Macaca fascicularis: one gene and its partners. The protein of the gene in region 3 binds, or shares a complex with, the protein of the main gene of each other region. Links are inferred from orthologs where the notes say so. Each region holds a gene or a part of one and is shown on either strand. Other genes may lie near its edges.

Region 1 (6,150 bases), on a different chromosome or scaffold from region 3:
TTGAGGCAATTTATGCCGGGAGGAGAATCTTGTATTCACCCTTGTAACTTTTAAAACTCTCATAAACTGGTGCTTTGGACAAAGGGTGATTAAGATTGTTAACTTGATGAAAGTAGTTCTCAAGGAACTTTGAGAGCTCATAGATTGGTGGTTCTGGGGTTACAAAGACATCCTTCTCCCCAGCTTACATCAACTTCAAGCCAGAGATGACTTATTCAAAAAAATAATAAATAAATATAAAAAATTAAAAAAACAGAGATGGCCAGGCGCGGTTGCTCACACCTGTAATCCCAGCACTTTGGGAGGCTGAGGTGGGCAGATCATCTAAGCTCAAGAGTTCGAGACCAGCCTGACCAATATGGTGAAACCCTGTCTCCACTAAAAATACAAAAATTAGCTGGGCGTGGTGGTATGCGCCTGTATTCCCAGCTATTCGGGAGGCTTAGACAGAATTGCTTGAACCCGAGAGGTGGAGGTTGCAGTGAGCTGAGATCATGCCATTACACTCCAGCCTGGGCAACAGAGTGAGACTCTGTCTCAAAAAAAAAAAGAAAAAAAAAGCAAAAACAAAAACAGATGACCATTCATAACCTGGCCATCAAAAAGAGACCAGGTTAGGTCAGGCGCATTGGCTCACGCCTGTAATCCCAACACTTTGGGAGGCCGAGGCGGGCGGATCGCCTGAGGTCAGGAATGAGACCAGCTTGGCCAACATGGTGAAACCCGTCTCTATTAAAAATACAAAAATTAGCTGGGTGTGGTGGTGGGCGTCTGAAATCCCAGCTACTTGGGAGGCTGACGCAGAAAAATCACTTGAACCCAGGAGGCGGAGGTTGCAGTGAGCCGAGATCGCACCATCGCACTCTAGCCTGGGTGACAAGAGCGAAACTCCATCTCTCTCTCTCACACAGACACACATACATACACACAAAGAGGCCAGGTTAGGCCAGGCACAGTGGCTCACACCTGTAATCCCAGCACTTTGGGAGGCAGAGGCAGGCGGGCCATCTGAGGTCAGGAGTTCCAGACCAGCCTGGCCAATGTGGTGAAACCCCATCTCTACTAAAAAATACACAAATTAGTCAGGCGTGGTGGCAGCACCTGTAATCCCAGCTACTTGGGAGGCTGAGGCAGGAGAATCGCCTGAAACTGGGAAGTGGAGGTTGCAGTGAGCTGAGATTGCGCCACTGCACTCCAGCCTGGGTGACAAAGCAAAAATCGTCTTAAAAAAAAAAAAAAGAGGCCAGGTTACCTGATGGTGAGAATGCATGGAGAGTGTGCAGTCTCAACAATTAAGAGATTTGCCTTACCTTCAAGCTTGTCCTGAGTGACTCTGCAAAAGCCTCTCTTTCCTCTTTATTAAAGTTAATCCAGGCTTCTATTGCCTCTGTTGGGTTCTGAGAACATGGAACTCCATCTGTGAGAGCCAGAGGAAAGGCATGGTCAATGACGATCCGAAAGAGAAATTCAGAGTAAGGGACTTTAAAAGATGTGAACTGCTTTATTAGACTACTGCTGGGCATGTGTATATATGTCCATGCATACATACACATATACATGAAATTAACCTGAAATTGCCTTTTTTTTGGGTGGGGGGCAGGGTCTCACCCTGTCGCTCAGGCAGGAATGCAATGGCACAATCACCATCACCGTAGCCTCAACCTCCTGGGCTCCAGCAATCCTGCTACAGCCTCCCAAGTAGCTGGGACTACAGGTGTGCACCACCACGCCTGGCTAATTTTCTTATTTTCTGTATAGACAAGGTCTCGCTATGTTGTCCACGCTGGTCTCAAATTCCTGGCATCAAGCGATCCTCCCTCCTTGGCCTCCCAAAATGCTGGGATTACAGGCATGAGCCATCATGCCTGGCATGCCTTGCTTTTTTTTTTAAAGTAGTCTCGTGTTACATGAGGCCTCAAAAAGTTGGGTAAAGACTCACAACTGTTCCTCTCCATGGAAATCTTTAGTAAAAGGCAAAATATTTAGACAATCTGAAGAAAAACCAGAATATGTGCCTTGCTTTTTTAAATCAAAATGGATGGCTCGATATGCTCCCATCTGCCACGGAAGCAACCTACTAAGCTATAGAGCTCACACTATTTTTTTTTTTTTGAGATGGAGTCTTGCTCTGTTGCCCAAGCTGAAGTGCAGTGGCATGATCTTGGCTTACTGCAACCTCTGCCTCCGGGTTCAAGTGATTCTCCTGCCTCAGCCTTCCCAATTAGCTGAGACTACAGGTGCCCACCACCACATCCAGCTAATTTTTGTATTTTTTTGTGGAGACGGGATTTCACTATGTTGGCCAGGGTGGTCTCGAACTCCTGACCTCAGGTGATCCGCCCACCTCGGCCTCCCAAAGTGTTGGGATTACAGGCGTGAGCCACCGTGCCTAGCCAACCTCACACCTTAAGTATGGTTATATCTCACTTGCAGGGTTAGGATTGTTTCCTGACGTTGGCCCATCACTAAAAAAGTTTTTAGTCTTAGATATCTTACCTCATCACCAATTTACATAGGTAATTAGACCCACCGGGACATCCAAAGTACAGGAGAAATTAGAGTATAATACAAATCACTCCTCAGTACTTTTGTGTGGTTAAGTGTTGTGCTTTAATTTTCCTGGCTTCTTCCTCTAACACACTGTGTCTCTGACAGCAATTACACTGAATCTCAACTCAATCTTTCTTAGCAGGTTATCTCAGTAAGAATGCAGGAATAATAATGTAAATTAACACCAGGAAGCATGAGGGTTCCTTTCTCCTAAACTAGAACATTCACTGAACATCACAGCCAAGTAACTTCGTATGCTGTGTCCCCTCCCTAAACTTACCCGAGATGATATCTGTGAGTAGGTGGTGAGGCAAGTGGAGAAATTCCTCTGTATTCTGCAGCTGGGCCAGGTGGGTCTTGGCACAGTGTTTGGCAGCAGTATAGAGCTCAGGATCACTGTGCCGATCTGCCAGCCACATCACCTGAAGGCAGTTTCCCACTTGCACTGTGCGGGCCAAAAACCGAGAGCATTCCTCAAAGAGAGATGTCAACTGATACATGTCTGACACCTCATAAATTTCCTGCAACTCCTCAGCTCGAAGTTTCACAGTCCCATGGTAGATATAATCAACCAGGAGCTGGAAAACAGACTCACTGACATCCTGCAGCACAATCACCCGGTTGTGGGCCTCCTTCAGGTTAGAAGTGAACATGGATCGGAAGAAGCAGCTCTGAGCTGAGAGGACCAGCCGATGGAGCTGAAACTCCCGGCCTTCCACCGAAATGGTGACATCAGCAAAGAGCTCCTCCTCTAGACACAGTTTCATGATGCCTTGAGCCACACGGCCTGAGTGTGACCGATCTTTGAAAGTATAGTTCACAAAGTAGTTCTCATCCATGGATGCTCCAGGCTCCTCTGGTGATTCCATGCTAGCCAACTTCTCTCTCTGCCAGCTGTCTGCAAAGCAACACCACCTTGAGTAACTTGCGGAATTCACAGCCATAATCTGTGAATCCAACTGTCCAACTCAGGGAGGGAAATGGAAGAAGTGACAGCAAAGTGGGTCCAGATTGGCCTTAGTCCTGGTCCTGTCCATGATGTCCCTGACGCTATCCTTTAACCAAACCTGGGTTCGTTCTCCCCAGTGGCACCACTCCGCTAATGAAATAAATCAAAGTTCCAACTCTGGGTGTTTTCCTGAGAAAACACGGAATAATTCCGTTCCATGATATTAACAAAAGACTTGGGATTTAGGTCAATATATGAAAGCAAAGGGCTGGGGGAGGCCTGTGACCGTAAAAGCCTTACTAACCAAATAACTGGGGCATAAAACTAGTGAAGTTCGGGGCAGCAGAGTCAGACAAAAAGGACCCCCCGCCCTGGCCTAGTGGCCAGGTCCTCTCCTTCCCCGCGCATGGAGTTAAGACGCTCCATATGAGGCCTAGCCTGGGATATACGTCAGTCTCACATTTGCTCTCTTCTGAGCTACTTTCCCCGCTCGCTCGAAAGACTCCCTAAGGCTGCGTCCCAGAACTCAAGTCCAGCCGCCCTCAGGCCGGGGCACTGGGAGGCCCATCGCCCTGTGCAATATCCCCGCTCCACCTGAAGTCGCCTGGGAAACCGTCGCCAGGGAAACCGTTCTTCCCACTCAGGCTCGCCCGCCCTCGTCAAAAGCTTGGCTGAGAGCGGGGGAGGGGTGTGTAGTGCAGAACCCAGAACGCCCGCCCCCTCCCCTCCTCTCACCCGTCTGGTTCTTCAGCGTCCTCGCCTTCTCTCCAGGCTTTGCCACACGGAGCTAGGACCACGCTCACCTTACGGTTTCCCTACCTGCCTGTCTCGCTTTCTCACCTGCGTTCCCTCCTTTCATCCCGGAGCCCGGAACCTCTGCTTCAGGCTCCACGTCCGCCCGGAAGAAGATCTGCTGCACACTTCCGCTTCCGGTCCGTGCCCTTGGGGCTCCGTCTCCTGCTGTCTTTCCGTCCGCTGCCTAGTCTGTGTCTGGGTAACATGGCGGCGGCAGCGACAGCTAGGCTGTGGTGGCGTGGAATCGTGGGGGCCGCGGCGCTGACGAGGGGTGAGAGGGGCAGCTAGCTGAGACCGGGGTCAGGCGCAGCGGCGTGCCCAGTGCAGAGAGCTCTTCAGGCCTCACCCCGCGCGTCTGTGCCTTTTATCTCCCTGTGCAGGGGCTGGGCGACCCTCAGTTCTGTTGCTGCCGGTGAGGCGGGAGAGCGCCGGGGCCGACACGCGCCGTGAGTATGTGCTGGCAGCGCTCTTCCCTGAACTGTCGGCGGGGCCCCCTAGGTGCCTGTCCTTGCCCTAGGATGCCCTTCCCTGCGTCTTCCTGGCAAATCTTGGAGACCTGACTGCGGTGGTCTTCACCCTGCGTGCAGAATCGAGCCCTCCCTGTACCCTTAGGCCTCTCTGTTATGGCCCTGATTGTCCCTTGTCCGTTTCAATGGTCCCCTTTTTGTCTGATTAAACTCTCAGCTCTTCGAAAGCAAGCAATGTGCCCTTTAGTCCTTAGAGCCCTGTAATAATAGTACCTCACGTTGAGTGCTTAATGTGTGCCTGGCACCTCGCTAAGCGTTTTAGTGAATGATCTTATTTCGTCCTCACAACAGCCTTATGGGGTAGGTAGTATCTTACTCTTCTTACTATAGATCAGGAAACAATCCAAAGAATTAAACTGCCCAGGGTCAGAGACCTAGTGAATGACAAAGTAGGCCTGCCTGCTGCCAGAGGCAGGAAAACCTAACCATCATTCCGTAGCTTGTGATGTGTGAGTGCTCAGTGGTTTAGGGTTGCATGAATGAGTATGTACATATGTTACAGTCAAGATGCACGCACTGGGAGTTAGGAGACCTAGCATTTCCCCTTTTCTTGGCCTCAGTTTTCTCATTGATACAAAAAAAAAAAAAAAAAGTAGGTTTCAAGGAGACAGTCTGTGAGGGCTCCTCAAGCCCTGAAGTTCTTATCTTGAGAACCTGGTATAAACTTACATGCTAAGAAGTTACAGAGAAGCAAAAGTTCTGGTTCCCATCCTCAAACAGCTCTTAGTCTGACAGGAGAACTGAGACTACTGCTTTAGCAGAAATGCAGGTAATGTGAGGGAAGAACTGTAGAGTAATTTTGAGAAGAGGTGAACACCCCAGCTGCTGTATTGAGTCTTTCTGAGGACTGTGTACTTAAGGTGGCACTTTCCCCAAGTTTTCATCACTCTATTCCCTGGAAGGGAAACCTTTCACATGCCCCTTTCTCAGGGTGCTGCAGGGAGCCTTTACTGGATTTGACATCCCTTACAAGCCCAAGAGACTGGATACAGGGCTGGCTTTTGCCTTCTCCATTTCTTTGTTAAATATGCTTTTTCCTTCCAGCCACTGTCAGACCACGGAATGATGTGGCCCACAAGCAGCTCTCAGCTTTTGGAGAGTATGTGGCTGAAATCTTGCCCAAGTATGTCCAACAAGTTCAGGTAATACGTACCACTGTTATTTGGGTCTGGGCCAAGAAAGAACCATGTTCTCAGAGCATGTGGGAGTGGGCAGACTGGTTTCAAAGAAACTACAGACTCCTCCATCCCAACCTTGGACTTTTCCCTCAGCATTAAGCCAGGTGACTCCAGCTGAAGTTAGCTGTTCCCTCAGTAGCTCTTTGTTCCC
Region 2 (6,266 bases), about 22 Mb from region 3:
TGGGCAGGCAAAGTACATTTACCAAGTACAATTTAAGAAACGTAGCTAGGGGCTAAGGGGGATGTGCCGAAAAATGAATCAATTCTCTGCTGCAAAGGAGCACAGCACAGAGTGCAACATTTAAAACCACATCTATACGGTTTTAAATCACCAAAACGTCTACCCTCAGGAGAACAGATGTCATGGCACAGTGATTTGACAGAACCTTAGGCAACAGTCAAAATATGCAAAGTGGCCAGGCGCAGTGGCTCACGCCTGTAATCCCAGCACTTTGGGAGGCTGAGGCGGGCGGATCACGAGGTCAGGAGTTCAAGACCAGCCTGGTTAACATAGTGAAACCCCATCTCTACTAAAAATACAAAAAATTAGCCAGGCATGGTGGCAGGCACCTGTAATCCCAATTACTAGGGAGGCTGAGGCAGGAGAGTCACGCGACTGCACTCCAATCTGCGTGACAGTGTGAGACTCCGTTTTAAAAACAAAAAACAAACAACAACAAAAAAAACCAATGTGCAAAGTAGGCTGGGCACAGTGGCTCCTGCCTGTAATCCCAGCACTTTGGGAGGCCAAGGTGGGAGGATCACCTGAGGTCAAGAGTTCAAGACCAGCCTGGCCAACATGGTGAAACCCCATCTCTACTAAAAATACAAAAATTAGCGGAGTGTGGTGGCACACACCTGTTATCCCAGCTACTCGAAAGGCTGAGGAAAGGGGAAGCTGAGGCAGGAGAATCGATTGAACCCAGGAGGCAGAGGTTGCAGTGAGCCAAGATTGCACCATTGCACTCCAGCCTGGGCAACAGCGAGACTTTGTCTCAAAAAAAAAAAAGTGCAAAGTAGGCTGGGCATGGTGGCTCATGCCTGTAATCCCAGTGCCTTGGGAGGTCCAGGTAGGTGGAGTTCAAGACCACCCTGGGCAATATAGCACGACCCTTTCTCTACAAAAAATTTAAAAACTAACAAGCCATAGTGGCGTACACCTGTAGTCCTGGCTATCTGGGGTGAGACAGCTTGAGGTTCACTGCAGCCTCAAGCTCCCAGGTTCAAGTGGTCCTCCCATCTCAGCTTCCTCAGTAGCTGGAACAACAGGAGCTCACCACTGCGCCCGGCTAATTTTTCAAATTTTCTTTGTAGAGAAGGGGTTTCACTACATGGTGTAGGCTGGAGCACAGTGGTAGGTTCTTGGCTCACTGCAACCTTCATCTCCTGGGTTCAAGCGATTCTCCTACCTCAGCCTCCCGAATAGCTGGGATTACAGGCGCGCGCCACCACACCCAGCTAATTTTTGTATTTTCAGTAGAGACGGGGTTTCACCGTGTTGGCCAGGCTGGACTCTTTAACTCCTGCCCTCAAGTTTTCCACCCACCCTGGCCTCCCAAAGTGCTAGGATTACAAGCAAGAGCCACTGCGCCCGCCCCCAGGCCCCATTTTCATTTGACACATGGCTACTGTAGCCTGAAGCTCTTCGCCAGTCTCATATCCCCAATTCTAGTCATCACAAGCCAAGTTCCCTCTGTTTTGTGCTGTTCGAAGTTTTAGTGGGGAGCAGAAAGGAAGTTTAATGTGCCACATAGGTACAAACTGAAGGATATAAGACGAATTTTTATGAAGTAATGGATGGCAGAGTCAAAATCATTTTAGAGGAACTTTCAATTCGCTACCATTTTACTGAGTAGATATCCTCAGTCCTCTGTAGGCCCCCCGAACGAGCAGTATCCCCTCAAAGAAACTCAATCCTTGGCAGCATGAAGCAAGGTCGGCCACAAAGGCAAAGGGGGCGGCTCGGGTAGAGAGGGAGTGGGTCCTGATTCCCAGCGGGGGAGCCTTCCAAAGGGTGCGCTCTGGAAGAACCTCCCAGGGAGCCGACTTGGAGGCACTCGGCGCACCCAGGCCCGGCCCCGCGGAGGGCCGGAGCAAGGGCGCCCAGGGAGGAGCCCAGGCGAAAGGTGGCGGTGCCCCGCTACCCGCCCCAGATCCACTCGGCTCCGCCCGCAGCGAATCTAAAATGGTCAGAACTGGCAGCCGACGCTTCGCGCTCTGGTGATTTTGCACTGACAGCGCGATCTCCGGCTCCTCTCAGGAAACCCGGCGAGCTGGCGGGGCTGGGCTCCTACGGCTGCAGTCCCCGGGCCCGACTGAGGGAACTGAGGCTCGTCAGGCCGGCCCCAAGTCGCCCGCCTGTTGCAAGGCCGCCCGCTTCAGCGCGGAGGGTCGCCGCCAGGAAGGCCGCCCTCGGACCCGCCGCAGGCAACAGGGCCCGCCCGCAGCCGCGCTGAGGAGGCCTCGCACCCTGGCCCCCGGCCGAGCGCCAGATCCCGGCCTCTACGCGCCCCGGGATCCCGCCGGCCGCGTCCCCGCCACGTCAGGCCGCGGGCTCTCCTCAGGTCGCCGCCCCCGCGCCTCCGGCCCGCGCCCGCCCCCGCGCCCCTCGGATTCCGCGCTGCTAGCTTGCCCCCGGCCCAGCGATGCCTGCTTGCCGCCCGCCCCCCGCGTTCGCCGCCGCGCGACCCGCCCGGCCCACGCCTCGCAGCTGACCTGGTGCCGCCGCCAGCCGAGGCCGCGCTCGCAGCAGGAGGGAGGCGGGAGGCGGGAGGCGGAGGCGGGGCCAGCGGCGCCGGCGGGGCGGGGCCCTCGGCCGTCACGTGGGCGCGCCGCGCAGGCGCCGGGCGGGTTGGACGCGGGCCCAGGGGTGCCTGGCCGGGCGGGGTAGCAGCGCGGGGCGGCCCTGCGGCTGGGAGACGGGGGGCGGCTCCCCTCCGGCGCTCTGCGGAGGACAGCAGCGACCGCCAAGGCTCAGTGAGTCCCCGCACTAGCGCGGCACCTGGCACTTGGCGGGGCCGAATCAACGAATGAGTGAATTTGCCGAGGGTCGCGCCTTCCGAACCCATTGACTTTTTCCTTGCCTCGGTCCTGCCCTCATTCCTCGACTCACTCCCTCCTGCCCTTCCTCACTATCTCCCTCCCCGCTCATATCCTCCCTCCCCTTTCATCATTCGCTTCTTCACTCTGTTCTCTCCTCCCTTCCTCTCTTACTCCCCCCTCTCATTCTCTCCCTCCCTCCTTTACTCTCTTATTCTCCCCTCCATCCCCATTCCCTCCCTCCCTGTCTCACCCATCATTCCCTTCTTCCTTCACTCATTCCCTCCCTGCCTCCTTCACTCTCATTCTCCCCTCTCTCTCGTTACCTCCCTCCCTGTCTTAACCCCCATTCCCATCCTCCCTCACTCATTCACTCCCTCCCTCTCTCCCCCCTCATCCCCTCCCTCTTTCATTTCCTTTCCCTCCCTCCTTCACTCTCGTTCTCCCCTCCCTCTCTCATTCCTTCCTTCCTTGTCTCACTTCCCCCTGCTTTTCCTCCCTCCTTCTCTACCCCCTCCCATTGCCTCCCTCCCTCTTTGATTCCCTTCTTTCCCCCTCCCCTCCTTTTTTCGTTCCCTTCGTCACGCACTCATTCCCTCCCTCCCGCGCCTGCTCCTTCCCCGCTCCCACCGCTGTCCGTGCCGCTGAAGGTAGCGCGCCCCCTGCGGGATATCGGGGAGAATCGCCGAACACCGCCAGGGTGAACAGGTGCTAGTTTGTGTGCCCGTTCCTTTACTGATATTTTGCAGTAAATCTGATTCCCAGTCTTAAAGCCTGGTCCCAGAGGTCCGTGCGCGGCTCTTGGCATTCATTTTTCTCCACCTCACCTCCAAGCGGATCCCATCCTCCAAGGCGTATCCGTAACGGCTGCGCCCAGAGCTTGGAGCCACAGAGCCTCCTGATGGAATAAGATTGGCGTGTCCCACACTGTGGTTTTGAGAGGGACTGTGAAGGGTGGAGAAAGTGGTGCGGGGAGGATATGGCTGGAGATGGCTCATGGTTAAAAAGAAAGGTGGGGCCGGGCGTGGTGGCTCGTGCGTGTAATCCCAACACTTTGGGAGGCTGAGACAGGCGGATCACGAGGTCAGGAGATCAAGACCATCCTGGCCAACATGATGAAACCCCATCTCTACTAAAACACACACACAAAAACTAGCCGGTCATAGTGGCGCGCACCTGTATTCCCAGCTACTCGGAAGCCTGAGGCAGGAGAATCGCTTGAACCCGGGAGGTGGAGGTTGCAGTGAGCCGAGATCGCTCTGGTGACAGAGCGAGACTCCGTCTCAAAAAAAAAAAAAAAAAAAAAAAAAAAAAAAAAAAAAAAGGTGGAAGGGGAATGTAAAAGGAAGAAAATAGATGAAAGAGAATTGCTGTCCTGGCTGAGTCCAGAGAAATAACTGAGGGTCCCAGACAAGGATCAGGTGAACAGGATTGGCCTCCAGAGGCAGAGGTTCCAAATGCGAGTGGGCTTCCTCCTAGAAAGGCTTTCTGGAGGAGAACCCCCTACGTGTAACAGACGAGGACTTTGGGAGTAAGAAAAGCATTCCATGAAGGGGACAGTGTCAGCAAACGCGTGGAGGTGAGATCCTTCAAAGTGAGTGGTATGGAGGTTTCCAGGATACCTCCTGGAATTTTCATAATTCCAGTGGATTTCTGAGCCTGAAGGGAAGGTTGGAGAGCAGACCCTGCCCTCTGGAGGCTAGACTTAGCCCTGAGGGCACCCTTTAGCCAGGGTGGGCAGATGCCAACCTGGTGGAGAGGAAGACTAAGTAGGGAGCCAGCCATAGTGCCTGGTCTCAGACAGGCAGAGAGTGAAGACGAGAGTGGAGCAGGCTAGAAACCCGGGAAGGAAGCAGCTTCCCCAGTATAAATCCAGTGATGTGTAAAGATTGAGCCCAGGAGATGGGTGGGGAAGTAGGCCCACCCTGGCTACACGGGAGCCAGAGCAAGAGCAGGTTTGGGGGAAGATGAGGCCCAGCTTGGCCTCAGGTAGGGGAAGACTGATCTCCAAGGCCCAATGGGACCAGGTGTAAGGGTGGACCCAGAGAGGAGAGGAAAAGGAGTCCTGGGGCAGCGACAAGGAGGCCACTGTGGTCTGAATGTTGGTACCCCCAAAATTCCTATGTTGGAACTGAATCCTCAGTGTGATACTATTATAAAGTAGGGCCTTTGGGAGGGGTTTAGGTCATGAGGGTGAAGTCACCATGGGATCAGCGTATAAAAGAGGTTTGAGGGAGTTCATCCCCTACTTTTGCCAGGTGAGGACGCTGTAATAAGCACCATCTTCAAGGCAGAGAATTGGCTGGGCGCGGTGGCTCACGCCTGTAATCCCAGCACTTTGGGAAGCCGAGGCGGGCGGATCACAAGGTCAGGAGATCGAGACCATTCTGGCTAACACGATGAAACCCGGCTCTACTAAAAATACAAAAAATTAGCCAGGCATGGTGGTGGGCACCTCTAGTCCCAGCTACTCAGGAGGCTGAGGTAGGAGAATGGCATGAACCTGGGAGGCAGAGCTTACAGTGAGCCGAGATCACACCACTGCACTCCAGCCTGGGCAACAGAGTGAGACTCCGTCTCAAAAAAAAAAAAAAAAAAAAAAGGCAGAGAATGTACCCCTCACTGGACACTGGGGCTTTTTTCTGAAGACTACTGTGTCATATAAAATTTATATTGAATAAATTGATATGCTTTTCTCTTGTTAATCTGTCCTTTGTTAGAGGGGTGTCAACCAGGAACCTTGTGATAGGTGAGGAAAAAATATTTCCTTTCCCCCTACTCTTTCTGGCACCCAGCAAACAAATGAGGTGGCAAAGACACCCCACTTGGGACAACTGGCAAAAGGTAAGCATTCTTACCAAGGTCGACTCCCAGATCGCTGCCTGTAGTACTCAGCTGAGAGTAGAAGGCAAAAACTTCTTGTCCCTTCCTTTCCAAATTCAAATTAGCAGAAGAAAATATTGTATCCGCATTGTGACTCTTGCTTAAATTTGTTTTAGGGGTAACCGTTTGTTACTGATCCTTTCCTCCCAGGCACAGCTACCTCATTCCTGTTTGTTTTGTTTGTGTCCTGAGAGCTTGGCTTTATGACCAGTGAGAATATTCTCCCCGATCTCTGAATAGCCAGTGGGTGCAAGTGACAGCTTGCTTTAGGACAGCTTGCGTTATTACAAACTCCTCTGTCCTGGTCAGAAAAAGAGAAGGTTCGTTTTTTGTTTGTTTGGTTGGTTTTTGTTTTGTTTTAATGTCTTGCTCTTTCGCCGAGGCTGGAGTGCAGTGGCATGATCTCGGCTCACTGCAACTTCTGCATCCTGGGCTCAAGTGATTCTTCTGCCTCAGCCTCCTGAGTAGCTGGGGCTACAGGTGCACACTACCTCACCCAGGTAATTTTTTTGTGTATTTTTAGTA
Region 3 (6,275 bases):
ATGTGTTTGTATTTGTGGCTTACATTCAGATTGGACAGTGCTGGGTTAGACAAAACCAAGGAAGAGAACAGGTGAAGAATATTCTAGGTGAGAAAGAATAGGCTATGTAAGGGCTCTGAAAAAGAGCATGGACACTTAAGAATGAAAAAGCAGGCCGGGAGCGGTGGCTCATGCTTTTAATCCCAGCACTTTGGGAGGCCGAGGTGGGCAGATCACCTGAGGTCAGGTGTTTGAGACCAGCCTGGCCAACATAGTGAAGCCCTGTCTCTACTAAAAATACAAAAATTAGCTGGGCGTGGTGGCAGGCGCCTGTAATCCCAGCTATTGAGGAGGCTGAGGCAGGAGAATTGCTTGAAACCAGGGGGCAGAGGTTGCAGTGAGCTGAGATCACGCCACTGCACTCCAGCCTGGGCGACTACATCTCAAAATAAGAAAAAAAAAAAAAAAGGAAAACTGGCCAGGGGCCATGGCTGCTTTGGCCACCATAGTTAGTTTAAAAAAAAAAAAGTGTCCAGGTAAACTAACAGAGTGAGCAGGAGTGACTCAAGATGAAGTTGTAAAGGCAGGTGAGTGATCTGAAAAGTAAGTTCCTATAATTCCAATTCTAGAAACTTGAAGTTTCTTTCCTCCATTTCTGGCCTCAGTAACAAATCATTTTAGTTCCCGGATGAAAAAGTAACCTCTACTGTTCCTGGTGTGATCAACATTCTTGTTCCTTCTACTATAAGGACAGGAAATCAGTCCATCAAAGACTATAATCGGATCACTATGTGCTGACCACTACATGTAATAAAATATGTGGAGATTTAAATGAAATTTCTTTAGTGCAATCAATTACCTATTTAGATGTTGGCAATGATTTCCTTTTTATTATGTTTGGGCCTAACATACAAAATACTTACTCCTTAGGCTTCTTTCCTTTGTAAACAATGACCAGCAAAAATTAGCTCAGATAGACATTTTTTTTTTTTTTGAGACTCTGAGTCTCAAAAACTTTTTTTTTTTTTTTTCTTGAGACCCTGAGTCTCAAAAAAAGACTGTGAGTCTTGCTCTGTCGCCCAGGTTGTAGTGCAGTGGTGTGATCTCAGCTTACTGCCACCTCCACCTACCAGGTTCAAACAGCTGTCCTGCCTCAGCCTCTCAAGTAGCTGGGATTACAGACATGCACCACCACGCCCAGGTAATTTTTGTATTTTTGGTAGAGACGGGGTTTCACCATGCTGGTCAGGCTGGTCTTGAACTCCTGGCCTCAAATAATCCACCCGCCTCAGCCTCCCAAAGTGCTGGGTTTACAGGCATGCACCACCACGCCCGGCTAATTTCTGCATTTTTAATAGAGTATTTTTGCATTTTTAATAGAGTCGGGGTTTCACCATGTTGCCCGCCTTGGCCTCCCAAAGTGCTGGGATTACAAGCATGAGCCACCACGCCTCGCCTCAGATAGAATATTTTAGCTCAAAGTTTATTTTCCTCCTTTCAGTATTTCTACCTTTGAGTCTAGGTACAAGATGGGAGATATGCAGGAAGAATCAACAGTGCCTGTTGTCCACAATTAATTCTAAATGTGTCCCTGCCATCTTTAGATTGAGTAGATTTATTCTGAAAGCTGGGTATGCCTCCAGGACATCATAAAAAAACTACTCTATTTCAAACACACCAAAAGACTAGATACAGAAGACCGAGTGCTCAGAGTAGGCTTGATATCTGCTTGTGAAGAAGAAAATCGGTCACATCAAGATAGCCACAAGCTCTGCAACCTTCTCAACTTCCTCCCATCCTCCTCCAATTACTTACAAAGATCCATAATGTGGTTCCTGCAGATGGCACAGTTATCAACCACAATATCCCAGGCCCAGAGGGCTACTGCATTCCACTGCAAAGACAAAAAGAGGGAACAATGCATTCTCCTTATAACACACACACAGTTTTTAGGACTTCAGGCTGCAGTTGTAGTTATGATCTCTGGCCACAGGGAACCACCAAACAAAAGTTTTTGGATATTATGTTAATCTTATTATACCAAAGACAACAGTAGACAACACATACATTCTCCTATTCTCCAAAAGACTGAGTATATGAACACATAAATTAATGTCATCTTTTAATTTGTTTCCTGTAGTTTAAAACAATTTAGTCTGGCCGGACGCAGTGGCTCACGCCCATAATCCTAGCACTTTGGAAGGCTGAGGCGGGTGGATCACCTGAAGTCAGGAGTTCGAGACCAGCCTGGCCAATATGGCGAAACCCCGTCTTTACTACAAATACAAAAATTAGCCAGGCTTGGTGGCGGGTGTCTATAATGCCAGCTATTTGGGAAGCTAAGGCAGGAGAATCGCTTGAATCTGGGGGACAGAGGTTGCAGTGAGCCGAGATCGTGCCACTGCACTCCAGCCTGGGCGATGGAGTGAGACTCCATCTAAAAAAAAAAAAAAAAAAAAAGCACAAACTTGAATTTCTGTGCAGGTTTTGGTGGCAGTTGCAGAAGCGCTCAAAATCTGAATAAGTATCTGCTCTTCCAGGCAGCTTTGGAAGCATGAGCAATGAAGTGAAAGCTAGGGAACAGAATGAACTAAGATGATGACTGGATCATAAAACGGGTAATCGTGGGATAAGCTGGATAATTAACTGCCCATGTCAGTACACAGAACAAGGTCATCACTTAAATCTTAGATTACTTCATAACAAATTCTACAATTCACTAGAATTTTGTTCGATTCTTACCATAAAATAAACTGATGTTCTGAACTTTTATATGTTTAGACTCTTCTATTAAGATAATAATTCCAGTAAGAGTTTAACTAAAAGTGGCATTTCATTCATTCAACTCTGGTTTCCTCAATTACAAGTACTCCCAAACCTTCATCGCTTTCAAACCCCAGTCTCAGTGCCTAGTAACTTCTTCACCACTTTTCACATCACAGCTTCAACTTGGAGGAAAAGCCCCTACTTCTATTATTCTTCAATATGGCTGGCTGTAACTGAGCAGCAGTGGCCACAATGAGACACCAAAAAGCACTAGGAGGGGGGGATATTGTCAGTGTTTAGCCAGATGTTCCAGGAATATCTTCCCTATTTCAGAATCTCCATTTCGAATAGTTTTCATGTTAGGTGGGAATCGACACTTTTCTCCCAAACTGTGGCAAACCACTAAAATGCATTTCATGCAAAAGACACGTTCCATTTTTGCTTTCCCCTCTTACCAAGTCATTCGCAACTACTACTCAACCCTCCCGAAATGCCACAGGATTTGGGCTCGGATTTTCTTAACAAGTTCCACCGTGCTTTTTATTATTATTTCGGAAGGGGGAGATTCTGAACGTGACAGAGAATCCAAGAGTGGGGTGGTTGTGGGAAAAGCCAACAGACGTCTCAGAACACCCAAGCATTACACTCCAGACTCTAACTCGGCGGTGTGAGGCCCAGAGATGGGGTTAATGGAGGCCTCGGTTCAGCGAGGAACAAGTCTGATCCCTTCAAGTGAGAGGACCCCAAGCAAGCTTCAAAAAGGGGCGGAGCAAGATCACTAGCGGGGCTCCTCAGAGGCCTCCAATGCGGTAGGACCTCAGGTTCCAGGCTTTCGCCGCACTGCCCCATCCTCCACCGCCGCAGTCGCTCTGACTCCCCATTCCACCCACCCCACCCCACCCCACCCCACCCCACCCCACCCCACCCTACCTTCCCCCACCTCTCAACCACTCCAGTGACAGCTCAGGCGCTTGGCTCCCGCCGCCAAGTCGCAACCCCGCGTATCTCAACAAGCAGCTCTGTGATTGGCCCCTCAGCCTCACATCGAAACCAACACTTCCCCTGACAGTGGGCCGCCGTCACGCCGATCAACTCTAAGGCCCGCCCCCCGACTTCCTTTCGTGGTACCCGGTCCCAGGAACGCCCTAAAATGAAACCCTTTACTCCGCGCCTCGACCATCCTCGGGCCTGCCAGCCAGATCCGCGCCTCTCTAGCTTCCCTGAGGAAGGCGCTGGCGAGACCCAACCTTTTTCACTTCAAAGCGCTTCTTGCCCGCGCCGCTGTTGGTGCCGCTCGGGGTATCCACATCCATCGCTGCCGCCATTTTGGAAACACACGGTCTGTCGTCCGACCACCGCGCCTGCGCAGCAGCGCACACCTCGTTCCCCCAGCCTCCCCGGCACCTCCTCCCGCACCCCACCCCTTACTGGCGCGCGTGGGGGAGGTGGGGGCGGAGCACGTGACCACGCCTCTTAAAGGGGCTATCGCAGGTCGCCCCACCCGCGAAGTGTCGGCCGGGGAGGGGGCGGTGGCCGGAGTGGGTGGGGCGGGGCCGGGCGGGGCCGAGGCTACGTGAGCTAGCCTGGTAGAAACGTTCGAAAGGGCTCGAGGTCGCCGCCTCCTCTGGGAAGCCCCCGGCCGCACTCCATCAGCTGGGGCGGCGGCTGCTTCCTCCGCCTGAGTCGGACCTGCGCCGCAGTCCTGTCCTGCCTACCGGGCTCGCCCGGTCGCCGCGCGACTCCCATTGCTAGCCGGGGTGGGCGCCCGCCGCCTGCCCCGAAACCTGAGAGCCCTCGCTGGTCTTTCGCAGACTCTGACCCACCTCCGAGCCAGGCCCAAGGCGCAGTCCGCGTGGGAGGGCTGGGGCCCAGGCACCGTCTGGTCTCCGATTTCTGTTCGGGAACTGCTCAGGGATCGATGGGGAGAGAGGAGAGCCCCGAAGGTCCTCCCTAAGGCCAGACTGAGCAGGCCCCCAGTGCTGCCCTCATCCCCCCGCCAAGCCTGGAGGGTGGCCTCTGCGCCCGCTTAGTCGCAGTCCTAGGACCGCCTTTGGTCGTGGTGCGCGGTTTCACCGTGGCGTGTGTCAGTCCCCACTCCTCATTCCTCAGTTGTCATCTTGTGTAGGGTGATTTCTCCCCAGTCTGTGTCCTCTTTCCGCTACTTGTGCTATAGTGAAACCGACCCATCTGCAGTCGCTGTATTTCTTTAATTTTTGTGAAGCATTCTGACTTTTTGGGGTGTTTTTCTGAGACGGAGTTTCGCTCTTGCTGCCCAGGCTGGAGTGCACTGGCGCGATTTCGGCTCACTGCAACCTCCACCTCCCGGGTCCAAGCGATTCTCCTGCCTCAGCCTCCCTAGTAGCTGGGATTACAGGTGTCCGCCACCACGCCCGGCTCTTTTGTATTTTTAGTAGAAACGGGTTTTTACCATGTTGGCCAGGCCGGTCTCGAACTCCTGACCTCAGGTGATCCGCCTGCCTCGGCCTCCCAAAGTGCTGGAATTACAGGCTAGAGCCGATTTTTTTTTGTTTTAAATAGAGACAAGGTCTCACTCTGTTTCCCAGGCTGGTCTCGAACTCCTCGGCTCAAGCGATCCTCCCACTTCGACCTCCCAAAGTGCTAGGATCACAGGAGTGCGCCACCGCGCCCGACCCAAGCACCTGTACTTTGTGTCACTCTCCCATTTCTCGCTAGACCAGGACTCCCTTTGACATCTCTAACCTTGCAGAGGTATGACTCCGCCAGAGCACTCTTAGATCTGGTACAGGTGATTTGAAGCCTTTTATTTTCTCTTAAAAGATAACTGGAGAGTAATGGAGTGTGCTGACACTATTGCTAAAGAGAAAGAATTGGCCAGGCGCGGTGGCTCACGCCTGTAATCCCAGCATTTTGGAAGGCCGAGGCGGGTCGATCACCTGAGGTCGGAAGTTCGAGACCAGCCTGGCCAACATGGCGAAACTGCATCTCTACTAAAAATACAAAAATTAGCTGGGCGTGGTGGCACGCGCCTGTAGTCCCAGCTACTCGGGAGGCTGAGGCAGGAGAATCTCTTGAACCCGGGAGGCGGAGGTGACAGTGAGCTGAGATCGAGCCACTGTACTCCAGCTTGGGTGACAGAGTGAGACTCCGTTCCCAAAAAAATAATAATAAAAGAGAAAGAATTGCCATTTGTTTATTTGTTAGTCATAAACAGGCACAACAGATCCGGGAAAACACCACCACAGCTTTATCCAGACTTGGAAAGAAAAATTGTGTGAGACAGACCTTAAAGGGCTACAAGAACCCTACAAAGTTTTTTTTAGCCCAAGTTGTAATGACTTTATGTTAAAATTTCTGTTGTTAATTTATTGTGCGCCTACAGTCCCTGACAGGAATACTAGAAACCCATTGTAAATTAAGGTATTGAGGACATACTTATCCATCATTCAACAAAAGTATTGATATTTACCAGGTTCTATTTTAAACAGAAGAGACATAATAACAGTCAACCCCCTAGTTAGGGAATAAGACACAAGTCAACAAATAAATAC
Region 4 (5,615 bases), on a different chromosome or scaffold from region 3:
GTCACAAAAATGACTGTTTAAAACCAACTACAGCTGTGTAGTTGTTCAGGGTTTTTTTTTTTTTTGAGACGGAGTTTCACTATTGTTGTCTAGGCTGGAGTGCAATGGCGCCATCTCGGCTCATTGCAGCCTCAGCCTCCCGAGTACCTGGGATTACAGGCATGCCCAGCTAATTTTGTATTTTTAGTAGAGACGGGGTTTCACCAAGTTGGTCAGGCTGGTCTCGAACTCCCAAACTCAGGTGATCTGCCCACCTTGGCCTCACAAAGTGCTGGGATTACAGGCATGAGCCACCACACCTGGACGGCTGTTCAGTTTTTTTGAGACAAGGTCTTGCTCTGTTGCCCAGGGTGGAGTGCAGTCGTGCGATCATACCTCACTGCAGCCTTGAATTCTTGAGCTCAAGTGATCCTCTGTCTCAGCCTCTGAGACAACAGGTGTATACCACTATGTGCCACTAATTTTTTTCTTTTTTGTAGAGATGGAGTCTCACTATGTTAACAAGGCTAATTTCAAACTCCTGGCCTCAAGATAGCCTCCTGTCTTGGCCTCCCCAAATGCTGGGATTACAGGCATGAGCCACCAAGCCCATCCAGTTGCTTGTTTTTGAAGCCAATTACACATTAAGTGAAATGTCTAACTACTTTTGAGCATGTCAAGTATTTCAAACTATTTTTTAATACACCATGGCACACATTTAAGCACAGCAATGGGTCATGCTTAATTTTTATCTGTGAAATGTCCTAATTTTACATATAATTTTGTATCTTTAAATAAAATTAAATATTATTTTCAAATGCATTACTACTTACCCCTTTGACTCCCTTTTTCAGCTTATCATCAATAAATAATGAGAGGTATTCAGGAGACCTGGAGTTGAGGTTGAGAAAATACTCAAAGTCACCCGCAATAGTTTGTTTAAAGAGCCGGTCATTGTTGAATGATTCCAGGAGGAAGCGATCGAACCTACTCTTCAGATCCAATAAACCCTTAGAAATAAAAACAAAATTTAGGACACATTATAATAATTTTTCCATAAATAATACACGTATGACCATGTATGTTTATCTTAACTTTGCTGGTAATAAACATGTATATTCATTTTTAAACTTACAGCTTTGATATTATTTAAGCCTATATCTAAGCCTCTATTAAAAATGTCAATGAGAGAGGTATTATAACTTCCATATATGTATTAACACAATGCAAACGAACCAAAGAACCTCCTCACTGCTTCTCATTCTCCTGTCTTCATGGAATGGGTTAGCCAGGGAAAAAATTAGCTTAAAAAATGTACCAAAAAAGCTGATTATATTAAAACACAAAAACACGGCATATAATTTATTCACAGTACTGCTTGAAAACAAAACGTTTTCAAACAAAAAATAAACAGTTGTTTATTCCAATATACTACAGTATAGAAACACTAAGGCATACCAAAGAACCTCACATTCGCTATTGAGACTATTTAAACAAGATCTTCATCAGAGAAGTTAAATGAAAAGTAGCAGTTGAATTTTAGCTCCCTGATATAAATATGCGCACCTTGCAAAATCCTAAAATACTTAGGATAATTACAACTATTAATTTACGACTGGGACAATTAAGTTGAAAATACGTTTTAGCACTTGTCAAATTGCCTTTATTATAAATGTAGAGCATCTTCTGGGTTTACTTACCTGGATATAGTCAACGGGATTCTTTCCTTCTCCTTCTTCAGAAACAAGAGCTTTACCTTGCTCCCTCAAATAGGAACTCATACACTCACACATTGTTTTCAAACCATTTGGCACACGACTAAATAACTTGTACATGCAACCAAGATCTACAAATCAGAAAACACAAATTCGCTACATTAAAGAAAAAAACACGAATCTGTGTTCACGCTATAATACTTAGAGAAGCTTATTTCTCCATTACCCCCATTTACTGACCGCATGACTATTAAAAATATACATGTATCAAAATGAAAACATGAAAAAGTAGGCTAGTTAATGGTTATTACTGTAATTTATAAAACACAACTTTTAGACGAGATGCTTTGAAAGTATCAATTAAATGTCCTAGCAAATTTAAATTTACATGGAAGAAGAGATGCCAAAACCCGTAACAAACAATGTCACAAAAACATGGCAACTGCAGTTTTGAGTTCATAAATACTTTATCCTACATAACTCTAATGCAGACCTAATGACACTACAAAACATCTACAAAAAGAGTCACTAAGTAAGATATAATTGATAGTCCCTGTAATGAGGAAGAAATTTTAAAACCAATTTAAGTCTTGTGGGTATTTCCAAAGGTTTAACTGATAATCATGAAAACAAATCAAATGAACTATACTAAGATTTACTTCATTACACCTCAGGTAAAGTTTTTATGAAATGTATAATATAAACACCACTTCTTAAATATTTTCTTCAGAGCAATCCCTAATGTTTCCCAGGTGGCATCCTAAGCCAGTATCTGTACTTCAAAATTTGGTCCCTCTCACTACACTTTTTAAATTTAGAATGAAAACTCTGGATCCTATCCATTTTTCAATATCATTTTTCACAAGACTAAAATATAGATTTTAAAATACAGTTTTCCCATATGTCTAGTGTTTCTTTATAATAACAACTTACTGGAAGAACACAGTGTCAGAACTTTACAATGATAATTTTAAAAGTTTTACAATCAATAACTTTTTAAAATGGAGTTAGAGTTTCTAGATCAGAGGCTGACCAATGTTTTTTCTGTAAAGCATCAGATAATAAATATTTCTAAATGTGAGCCATAGATCTCTGACTTAACTACTCTACTCTGACACTATAGCAAGAAAGGAGCCACAGACAATACATAAATTAATGAGTGTGACTATGTTTCAAATAAAATTTTATGGGTATTGAAAATTTATATAAATTTTCATGTGTAATTAAATACTAGATTTTTTTTTTTAAAAAAAAAACCAAACTGGTAGTGCATCAGATTTGGTGGACAGGCCCTAATTTGCCTACCTTGGTCTACAGTTCTAAGAGTAGTTTAGAGCTTAAACTTGTATGTATTTTAAAAATATTTCGAAGCAAGTCTGACAAAGTTTTACTAATCTTTATTTCAGTGACTTTCGGCAGCAAATTTATTAGTTTCCATTAATAATATACGCCCATAGTAACCTACACATGGCAATTTTATAGCTTCTCACATGCTTAGCATAAATTACAACCAAGTTTCCCATGTTTAAAACAGGTATTACAAATGCAACAACAATGTATGGACACATACTACAGTAAACGTGGCACACCAAATACCTCTAACAAAATGTCTATTTCATTCCTTTGTTGTAAGTGTGGCTTAGATATTACACGTTGTGTATTTAGTTGACATAAATTACTACAATTTCATTGTATTTAAATGTCAGGGTAAAGAGAATGTAAAAGAGTAAATGGCAATCTGGCATTCAAAAATTAAATATCATTATTTCTATATACACTTAATAAAATAGTTAAGATACCAGCTGGGCACGGTGGCTCACGCCTGTAATCCCAGCATTTTGGGAGGCCGAGACGGGTGGATATGAAGTCAGGAGATGGAGAGCATCCTGGCTAACACGGTGAAACCCCATCTCTACTAAAAATACAAAAAATTAGCCGGGCGTGGTGGCAGGCGCTTGCAGTACCAGCTACTCGGGAGGCTGAGGCAGGAAAATGGCATGAACCCGGGAGGCAGAGCTTGCAATGAGCTGAGATCGCGCCACTGCAGTCCAGCCTGGGTGACAGAGCAAGACTCCATCTCAAAAAAAAAGATACCATTTGAACTTAATTTCATAACGCTATCTGCATCTAATAACAATCCAATTTATCCTCCATTCACAGTGAGAAAACTGTTTTTCGTTTTCTGATTTATGAGAATTTGGCTTCATAATGGTGAAGTTGCCTCTGATATGTTCTCAACAAGAGCAACTTTTTTCCAAGAGCGGGGTCTATCACAATTAAGATCTTTTGCCACTAGGTTTCTAGTGGAAGCTCAGAAAAATTAAAGACAACAGTTCCCCCTTTTTTTCTTAAGACAGCATCTCCCTCTGCAACCCAGGCTGGAGTGCAGTGGCATGATCTTGGCTCACTGCAGCCTTGACCTCCCTGGCCGGATTCAAATGATCCTCTCACCTCAGCCTCCCAAGTGGCTGGAACTATAGGCATGTGCCATCACGCCCAGCTAATTTTTGTGTTTTTCATAGAGACAGGGTATCACCAATTTGAACTCCTGAGCTCAAGCGATCCACCCACTTCAGCCTCCCAAAAGTACTGAGATTACAGGCGTTTGCCACACTGCCCGGACAAAAACAGGATTTTAAAATTTAATTTAGAATCACAGATAGCTACTGTGTTGTTGGAAACCTAAGGTACTAAATAAAGGAGAACTCTGGTGAGTACTATTATGATATTCCTTCATTCACGTTAAGTGCCTGCAATGATAGGCACACCTGACACCTTTTACATATATCTCCACACAAGTTACAGAGATGCTGTAATTCAGGTATGCCCAACAACCTCTCCATCAAACATTTCCTAGCCCCTCATCTCCAGCCCATTTAATCATCCCTCCCTACATGCCCCTAAGGTAGGTAAGAAAGCATTCACTCAATACCTAAACAGTACATTACATAATTTATCGATACTCATTTTGTTTAAGCAGGGCAAATGCTTTGCATGAAGTCCTAGTCTACCAGAGACCATTTAGAGAAGGGTCATCAAATTAGAACCCGTGGGGCAAATAAGCCTGCCACCTATTTATGTACATACAGCTCATGAACTAAGGATGGTTTTCACATTTTTAATCGCTGAGGAAAAACTGTAAAGGATACTATTTAGTGACGCATAAAAATTATATGAAATTTAAGTTTCAGGGCCCATAAATAAAGTCTTATAGAAACACAGGCTTATTCATTTGTTATTGTCTATGACTATTTTCTCACTATGACTGCATGGCTCACAAGCCATTTTATTCAACAAGAACAAAAAAGGCTTGCCAACCCCAGACTTAGACCTTAATTTTAGCAAACACGGCAAACATACTAGATGACTTGTTTTTTTTTTTTTTTTTTTTTTGCTTTTACAAAAAAAGGTTTAACAGAATAGTCTTTTAAAAAGGAAGTCTCTCTAGTTTTTTTTTTTTTTTTTAAATTATATATCACTTTTCAGGGATTTATCATATATACAAAAATTTAACAATTTTAAAACACAAGGTAAGGATTCCACTAGAGAGAAACGTGGCTCAACTTCCCACCAGCTTTCTTTTTCCCTTCTCTTGTATCCTCCTGCTCTTCATAATTCTCTGTTAAAAAACTTTTTTTCATTCCCTACATAGCTCATGACCCCAAGAGGCAATACGTATTTCTTTTACTAAAAAGAAGTGGATAAAATATCGCTCAGATTTCATCTACGAAGCAGGAGAACAAGGGACCATGTTTTTTTATTTTCTAATACCATATCACTGATAAAGGCAAAGTTTTAAATCAAAGCATCAGAAACTAAGAATAGAAGATATGGTTATTGTTCTTTTAACTTGTAATTTCTTCTAGGATACTTGTCACAATTTTTTTTTTACCCCAGGGAAATAAAGATAAATAGCTACAA
Region 5 (6,302 bases), on a different chromosome or scaffold from region 3:
AGATGGAGCCACTGCACTCCAGCCTGGGCAATAGAGTGAGACTCCGTCTCAAAAAAAAAACAAAACAAAGCAAAACAAAAAACAAAAAAAACATAATGAATGCAATTGTTAAAACAGCTACAGTTTACGGGTTCAAATCGAGAGACCTGCAAAGGCTTCTTTGATCATGAAGTACTTTGGTATTAAATATTATATAAAAACAACAGTCTAACCAGTTTCATAGTTTTCATTTCTTCCAATAAGAAAATGGCAAAGAGCAGATATTTCACTGTGATAATAGTTTTGGGTGTTTAAAAACTTTTCTGAAGTCATCTTAGAAATGCTGTATAGTATTATGGTAATAGAACTGAGTCCAAAAAGACTGGAATTTCAGTTCCTCCTCAAACATTCTGACAGTCTGTGTGGCCCTAAGTAAAGTGTCTACTTTTTCTTCAAAATACTGCCATTTTTTAAATGTGTATTTTAATTCGAATTATTTTGTAAAACTGATTAACTGGAGAGTGTTTTACATAGTAAAACAGTTATAAAAGTTACACATATTTTAATATTTTTGAATTTAAAATACTTCTATTAATAACTGCCAATTAACATTAATAGAAAAATAATAGGAAGTAACAGGCACACTTCTATCTCTCACACAAACAGAAATAAATTACTAAAGTGTAAAACAACTTATGCATGGAGATATAAAACAAGAGGGCAACGGACTAGATAAATTCCAAAGCTTATAATCTTTATAATCATATATTTGACCTGCCTAGTGTATCACCTGTAAGAGAAAATGTGGGCAAGCTCCTATGACAAGATCATTTTTATCTCCTTAATGCCCTCCCCACCCCCCATTCATTCTAGAAGTTCTTCCTAGGTGTAATTACTCTGGAAATAATAACTAAAAATTTATAAAAATCCGACAGACATATGAGAATATGGATCTACAAAGGTTCTTGCATTTATAATGAGGCTAGTACAATTTCCTAGAATTAGCAGTCTCCATCAGCATATTAAAACTAGATGCAGGAGGGTGTAGGCTTTCACTCCGGCCTTGATATGAACTGGCTGGGGAATCCTGATGAAACCAGTTACCTTGTCTGAGTCTGTTTCCTCATCTATAAATTGAAAGACTAGAAACAGATAAACTCTGTGGTCCTTTTAACCTTTCCTGTACTATGAAATCTGCGATGTTACAGAAATAAAATCAAAACTAAACCACCATCGAAACCCAAATTCACACCTTCAAAGTCAAGCATCTAATAATTAACAGCATAGCGAAGTTTACACACACGTTAAAAACAAGTAAATCTGGCACACGCCACAGCAAAATACAGGCCTCCATTATGAGGAGTACTGAGAAGCACATTCACATCCTTCCTTTTCTGGTGCACCACAGGCTCTCCCTCCAGTGGAGACTTGTCGTTTTATCTACTTTCATTACATGTATTTCAATGGCAAAGAGGCTTTGATCAAGCAAAGCCCATCCTTACAAAATTGGAATCCACATGCAAACCAAATAGCTCTTTTTCCAGGTCACACCATGTCATGTGATTACATCAACACATAGAAAAAAAAAAAACTGGATATTACATTTTCCAAATTGTCAGATGATCCCAAACAAAAAATCTAAACCCCTAAAATCAATGGCAGTTCGTTACCTAAATTTTCACTGCAACAAGAACACTGAACAGTAATATACAGAATCATCCGTCCTACTACCATCCACAGTCCAACACAGATGAGTTAACTTCTGTGCAATGAATTCCCAGCCCCTGGGACCAGATGTGTCAGGACAGAGACAGACAGAGGGAGGGGGAAGAGTGTAACAGCAACAAAACATTTTCCTACGAAACTTGCACACGTCTCTCCAGGTCTAACAGGTGCAACTACGGTCTAGACATCCCCTCACAGTTCTCTGACAAACAAGTTTCCCCATATGTCCCCAGAGCTACTCCCCTGTAGGCCGGGGGATGGCCTTTTTTTCAAGAACTCAACTTTCGCTTGGCAAATAAAACCAATTCCTGGCAAGCATCCCTCACACAGAACCATCTTAGGCTGTTCCTGTGGAAAATCCAATCGGGAAAAAAAGACCTCCAAACCATCACCTCCTCCAAGTGCAGATCTCCTCCAGGCTGGCCATCACCATCCAAGGGTGATCCCTGGGAGCTGAGAAAAGGTACATGCTGAAGTCGAATCCAGCTTGCCAGTCTCCACAGCCACCAGCAACCAGTACCACGCTGGCCTCTCCCCTCCCTCTGGGCCCTGAGAGACCACAGCACCTGTTAGGTGCTTTTTCCTTCCCACCTCCAAAGCAACGCTTGCCCTTTCCTTTTGAATAACGTCCAACTGCAGAATCCTACAGGGGTGGCTTGTTTTGACTGCTGCGGCGGCTCTTATTTTTGTTAATGTTAATTACAATTTCTGCTGTGCTCAAACCTGTAGCACTCATAAAACATGCTTACACACGCGGGGGACAATTGGCGATGCTCCCTGCTGGCTGGAGCCAGGCCTGGGAGGCTCTTTGGGGGATCGATTTTCCAGGCAGGCCGGTCTGGCTGTCCCCTAACACATATCTGTTTCTATAAATACCCACTACCCACGGGGAGGTGGGGGAAGGACAGAGATGTTTACCCGGTCAGGGAAAGGGAGCTCTGGGATGCAAGGACGAAAAATGAGGAAAGAAGGGAAGCAGCAAGGAGGAAGTTCCTAGGAAGAGGAGCTCATGGCTGGGCGGGCTCCGGAGGGGAAGTAAGGGGCCCACGCCACGAATCTTCCTTTGTGGCTGCAGCTTTGGGCTCGCCCAAGTTAACGAGGGCGGCGTCGAGGAGAGGCCACGGGCCCGGGGCGTGGGGCTTCTTGTATCTCGACCCCTCTTCTCCCGGCGTCAGAACCCTCCAAGTCCGGGTGCTTCTGCCTGGGGCCCCTCCCGCCCCCACCGCCCGGGCCGCCCGCGGGCTGGGTCTCACCGTGTGGGCTGCGGCGGCAGCGTTGCTGGCCCGGAGAGGCGGCAGGGCGATGGGGGAGGGCGGGCCGGTCCCCACTCCGCTCCGGGTGGCCCCCGCACCGAGCCCCGGGGAAGCCTGAAGCTGGCGAACGGCGCTGTCCCCACCTCTGCCTGGAAGCCACGTGCGGGAGGAGACAAAAGAGGGTCAGGGGGGAGAAAGTCACCCAGACTACCCCCCACCCCACTGGGCAGCGACACCCCTCTCCCAGGGAAAGACAGAGGAAGAGACCGGGGCAGTACAAACAAGCGTTCGGGTCACGGCTCCCCAGCGCACACCCACGGGCGGGGCGCAGGCAGCTGCAAAGTTAAGTCGGGCCCTGGCGCGCGAGTTCGCGACCCGGCGGGGAAGCCGGACCACGCCGGGGCTTGGCGGCCCACATTGCAGACTGCCAGCGGCCGGGAGGTGGGTTTGGACAGCTGAGCAGGGCGCCACGGCCACGCCAAGCCCCGGGCAGAGAAGGGCGGGGCGGCAGGCCTGGACGGTCCCCGCCCGGGCCCCTGGCAGGCAGAAGCCTCTTCGGGCGGAGGACTCCCCTCGGAGGGGCCTTCGGCGCCGCGCGCAACCCTGCGCGGAGCCCGGAGCGCGCCGTCCGCCCGGGGACTCCCCCGCGCCGCGCCGCCGACTTTGTTCGAGGTCCCGCAGGCAGCGGCCGCCCGCGCCACGGGGGCTGCCCTGGGTCGGCGGGGTTCCGGGGGGGGGGGGCGGCGCGGGGGCACGGCCTCCTTACCGGTCGGGAAGGCGGCGGGAGCGGCGGCCGAAGGTTTCCTGGTTAACATGGCCGCTGGAGAGGAAAATGCATTTCAGGGCTGCCGTCGCCGCCGCCGGTCCTGCTGCTACTTCTGGCGGCCGCCGCCGCCGCCGCCGCCTCCCGGCCGCCCCTCGCGCGGGTCCCCGGCGCCTCGTCGCCGCCTCGCGTCTGCTACAGCCAGACACACACAGTCCACTGCATCCCCTCGGCCCGGGCCCGCCGCCGCGAGCCCCCCGCTCTCCTCCTCGCCGCCGTCCTCCTCTTCCTCGGGCGGCTGCAGCACCCTCCGGCCCGTGCACATGCCTCGCCCTCCCCTGCGCGCCGCGGGCCTCCCCGTCTCCCTCACATAGGGGCGCGGGGAGCTAGAAGCGCCGCGAGGACCGAGAACCGCCTAGCTCGGGAGGCTCTCCCGGGCCCGCGCGCGCGCGGCCCCGCGCACTCACACACAGACACCGGCGCGCGGCCCCGCCCCCGCCGCCCTCCGCCGCCCTCCGCCGCCCTCCGCCGCCCTCCGCCGCCGCCGCAGGCCCCGCCCCCGGCTCCCCCGGCCCTGGCCCCCACCCAGCCTCCCGCCTGGCCTCTCTCCTCTCCCCGGGTCGCGCGCAGCCGCCCCTCCGTTCCCCGGAAAATTCGGCGGGCTCCGCTCGCCCTCCTCCGCCCCCTCCGGCCATCTGCACTGCTCCCCTCGGCTCCACTCCGGCGACCTTTTCCCCTCCCCGGCCTCTCCGGCCCCCTCGGAGCCCCTCCGCTGCCCTAACAGCTCAACCTACCGCTGCTGCCCTCCGGCCGAAAGCGTCGCAGAGACCCCTCCCCTGCCATGCCCACCCCTAAACATAAATGCATTTTCAGCTCTTCGAACTGAATGGCTGCTCACAGACAGTACTGCGTCCCCGGTCCCCCATTCTCAGTCGCGGCGACTTAGCCACTCCCCTCTCCCCAATTCCTCATGTAGATAACTTAGTTGTGCGAGGGTCACCTCGGAGAGTCAAGTCCTGGGAGGGGCCGCCGCTGAGCTCGTTGACCCTGAGCAGGGGCGAGAGAGGGGGCTGCCCTCCCACCTCCACTACACACACCCTCCCCGGTTTACTGACACCAAGTGACCGTTCGCCAGTCGCTAGGACAAGGGGAGGCAGAGAGGCGCGTGTGGACGGCAGCTGGGGAAGCAGTTGGCTGTGGGTTGCTAGGCAAAAATAAACATCAGAGACACCTCCTATTTCCTTACAACTCCGAGCCTTTTCCTGGCGCGGCCACTGGGAGAGACACACCTTCCTTTGAGCTCTGCGGTGAGGGAGCGACACCTCGAATTCCTCTCACCCCAACCCGACGCATCTCTTATAAACCCCTTCCTTTACAAGAAACTTAGAGAATTTCCCTGCCTTTTTTATTCGCCATCTACAACCTCTCTTTTCCTTGAAGACCAAAAAAAAAAAAATTGCTTTCCCGTCTCACACCCACGCCTCGTCGTGCGTGGCACACGGTGCGCCTCTGTCCAAAGGTCACAGGTGTTGCCACTTCAGCCGTGAGAGCAGGTGGGGTGGAAAAGCCCGACAAATTCCGAATGACGGGGCAGAGTTATGCCATGCACTTCCTTCTCGAGAGGTGCCTAGTTTCTGAAGTTCTCTTGGGGTCAGGGGTCCATTACGCTCTGCCCCGCCCGATTATCTCTGGCCCCTGGCTGGACCTACTGTGCAGGCCCGAACTAGTGCAGACTCCAGTCGGAAGGGAGTCACCTCCTGCGGAGTTTCATCGCCTCTACTGTTTGCAAATTGTCATAGCAACCTCCCACAGAGCGCACCCGCAGCTTTATACAAACGCCAAAAACTGTGTTTCAAGGTACAGTGTGACCTCTCAGAGTCTCTGGGACTCCTAAAGAGGCCTCCAAGTTAGGGACACTGGGAGAGGGAAACTGTGACAAAAAGAATTTTGCCTAGTATCACGTCCCTCCAAAAAAACAAAACAAAACCCTTTGGGGCCTTCTCCTAATAAAGTAGACCACAGTAAAATAATCCAATGATATGCCTTTAGATGAATCATGACCTGAACTGACCCTTGCAAGAAATATCCCCCTATGCTTGTCACTAGCGACTATCACATTTAAATCTACATGCGGAAGCATATTTAATGTTTAGAATCGACTAAAAGGCAAGGGCTACTCAGTAGCAGAGATGACACTAGAACCGGTTTTCTGACTCCCAGTCTGATTTCACTGATTTCCATCACACTACTTTCCTTACACTTTCAAGAAAGCTCACACCTCTTTTCTTCTCCTTTCAAAACACTTATTTTATACCATTTTCCTTTTTAAAATGAGTATACAACTGATGTTCAAATAAAAAAAAGAAGCAAAAATATCAATTTTAATATAATCCGACAGCCCTTTTTGCTTAAGTTATTCGTACAATACTTCAGTAGAAGCTAAATATGCCACTGTTTTCTCATGAATAAAATAAATGCTAGTTACTGGAAGCCATAGTTTACAATTTCCAAATTAGTAATATTAATTTACTCATTTAACATGAGGAAAAGGAGTGCTGATTCTTTTTTTTTTTTTTTTTTTT

The links.
Region 1: RBX1 (region 3) and KBTBD4 share a complex: the UniProt entries of both Homo sapiens proteins name them as parts of the BCR(KBTBD4) E3 ubiquitin ligase complex. The link is inferred for Macaca fascicularis from reciprocal best matches to the Homo sapiens genes RBX1 and KBTBD4.
Region 2: RBX1 (region 3) and KLHL22 share a complex: the UniProt entries of both Homo sapiens proteins name them as parts of the BCR(KLHL22) E3 ubiquitin ligase complex. The link is inferred for Macaca fascicularis from reciprocal best matches to the Homo sapiens genes RBX1 and KLHL22.
Region 4: RBX1 (region 3) and CUL3 share a complex: the UniProt entries of both Homo sapiens proteins name them as parts of the BCR(ARMC5) E3 ubiquitin ligase complex. The link is inferred for Macaca fascicularis from reciprocal best matches to the Homo sapiens genes RBX1 and CUL3.
Region 5: RBX1 (region 3) and DYRK2 share a complex: the UniProt entries of both Homo sapiens proteins name them as parts of the E3 ligase complex. The link is inferred for Macaca fascicularis from reciprocal best matches to the Homo sapiens genes RBX1 and DYRK2.

Annotation. Positions count from the first base shown.
Region 1 is NC_088388.1:18,259,918-18,266,067, reverse strand, and holds the start of KBTBD4 (kelch repeat and BTB domain-containing protein 4), read right to left. Parts: upstream 3,628-6,150; 5' UTR 3,495-3,627; coding exon 2,831-3,494; intron 2,012-2,830; exon of another isoform or gene 1,895-2,011; intron 1,418-1,894; coding exon 1,311-1,417; intron 1-1,310. Other genes in the region: NDUFS3 (NADH dehydrogenase [ubiquinone] iron-sulfur protein 3, mitochondrial), read left to right, coding at 4,499-4,565, 4,675-4,740, 5,866-5,963. UniProt on the Homo sapiens protein: Substrate-specific adapter of a BCR (BTB-CUL3-RBX1) E3 ubiquitin ligase complex which targets CoREST corepressor complex components RCOR1, KDM1A/LSD1 and HDAC2 for proteasomal degradation.
Region 2 is NC_088384.1:32,300,799-32,307,064, reverse strand, and holds the start of KLHL22 (kelch-like protein 22), read right to left. Parts: upstream 3,767-6,266; 5' UTR 3,686-3,766; intron 2,796-3,685; exon of another isoform or gene 2,668-2,795; intron 2,581-2,667; exon of another isoform or gene 2,535-2,580; intron 1-2,534. UniProt on the Homo sapiens protein: Substrate-specific adapter of a BCR (BTB-CUL3-RBX1) E3 ubiquitin ligase complex required for chromosome alignment and localization of PLK1 at kinetochores.
Region 3 is NC_088384.1:10,678,044-10,684,318, forward strand, and holds the start of RBX1 (E3 ubiquitin-protein ligase RBX1), read right to left. Parts: upstream 4,096-6,275; 5' UTR 4,071-4,095; coding exon 3,993-4,070; intron 1,874-3,992; coding exon 1,795-1,873; intron 1-1,794. UniProt on the Homo sapiens protein: E3 ubiquitin ligase component of multiple cullin-RING-based E3 ubiquitin-protein ligase (CRLs) complexes which mediate the ubiquitination and subsequent proteasomal degradation of target proteins, including proteins involved in cell cycle progression, signal transduction, transcription and transcription-coupled nucleotide excision repair.
Region 4 is NC_088386.1:120,455,753-120,461,367, forward strand, and holds part of CUL3 (cullin-3), read right to left. Parts: intron 1,826-5,615; coding exon 1,680-1,825; intron 990-1,679; coding exon 813-989; intron 1-812. UniProt on the Homo sapiens protein: Core component of multiple cullin-RING-based BCR (BTB-CUL3-RBX1) E3 ubiquitin-protein ligase complexes which mediate the ubiquitination and subsequent proteasomal degradation of target proteins.
Region 5 is NC_088385.1:74,404,000-74,410,301, reverse strand, and holds the start of DYRK2 (dual specificity tyrosine-phosphorylation-regulated kinase 2), read right to left. Parts: upstream 4,164-6,302; 5' UTR 3,773-4,163; coding exon 3,724-3,772; intron 3,107-3,723; coding exon 2,958-3,106; intron 2,929-2,957; exon of another isoform or gene 2,097-2,928; intron 1-2,096. UniProt on the Homo sapiens protein: Serine/threonine-protein kinase involved in the regulation of the mitotic cell cycle, cell proliferation, apoptosis, organization of the cytoskeleton and neurite outgrowth. Functions in part via its role in ubiquitin-dependent proteasomal protein degradation.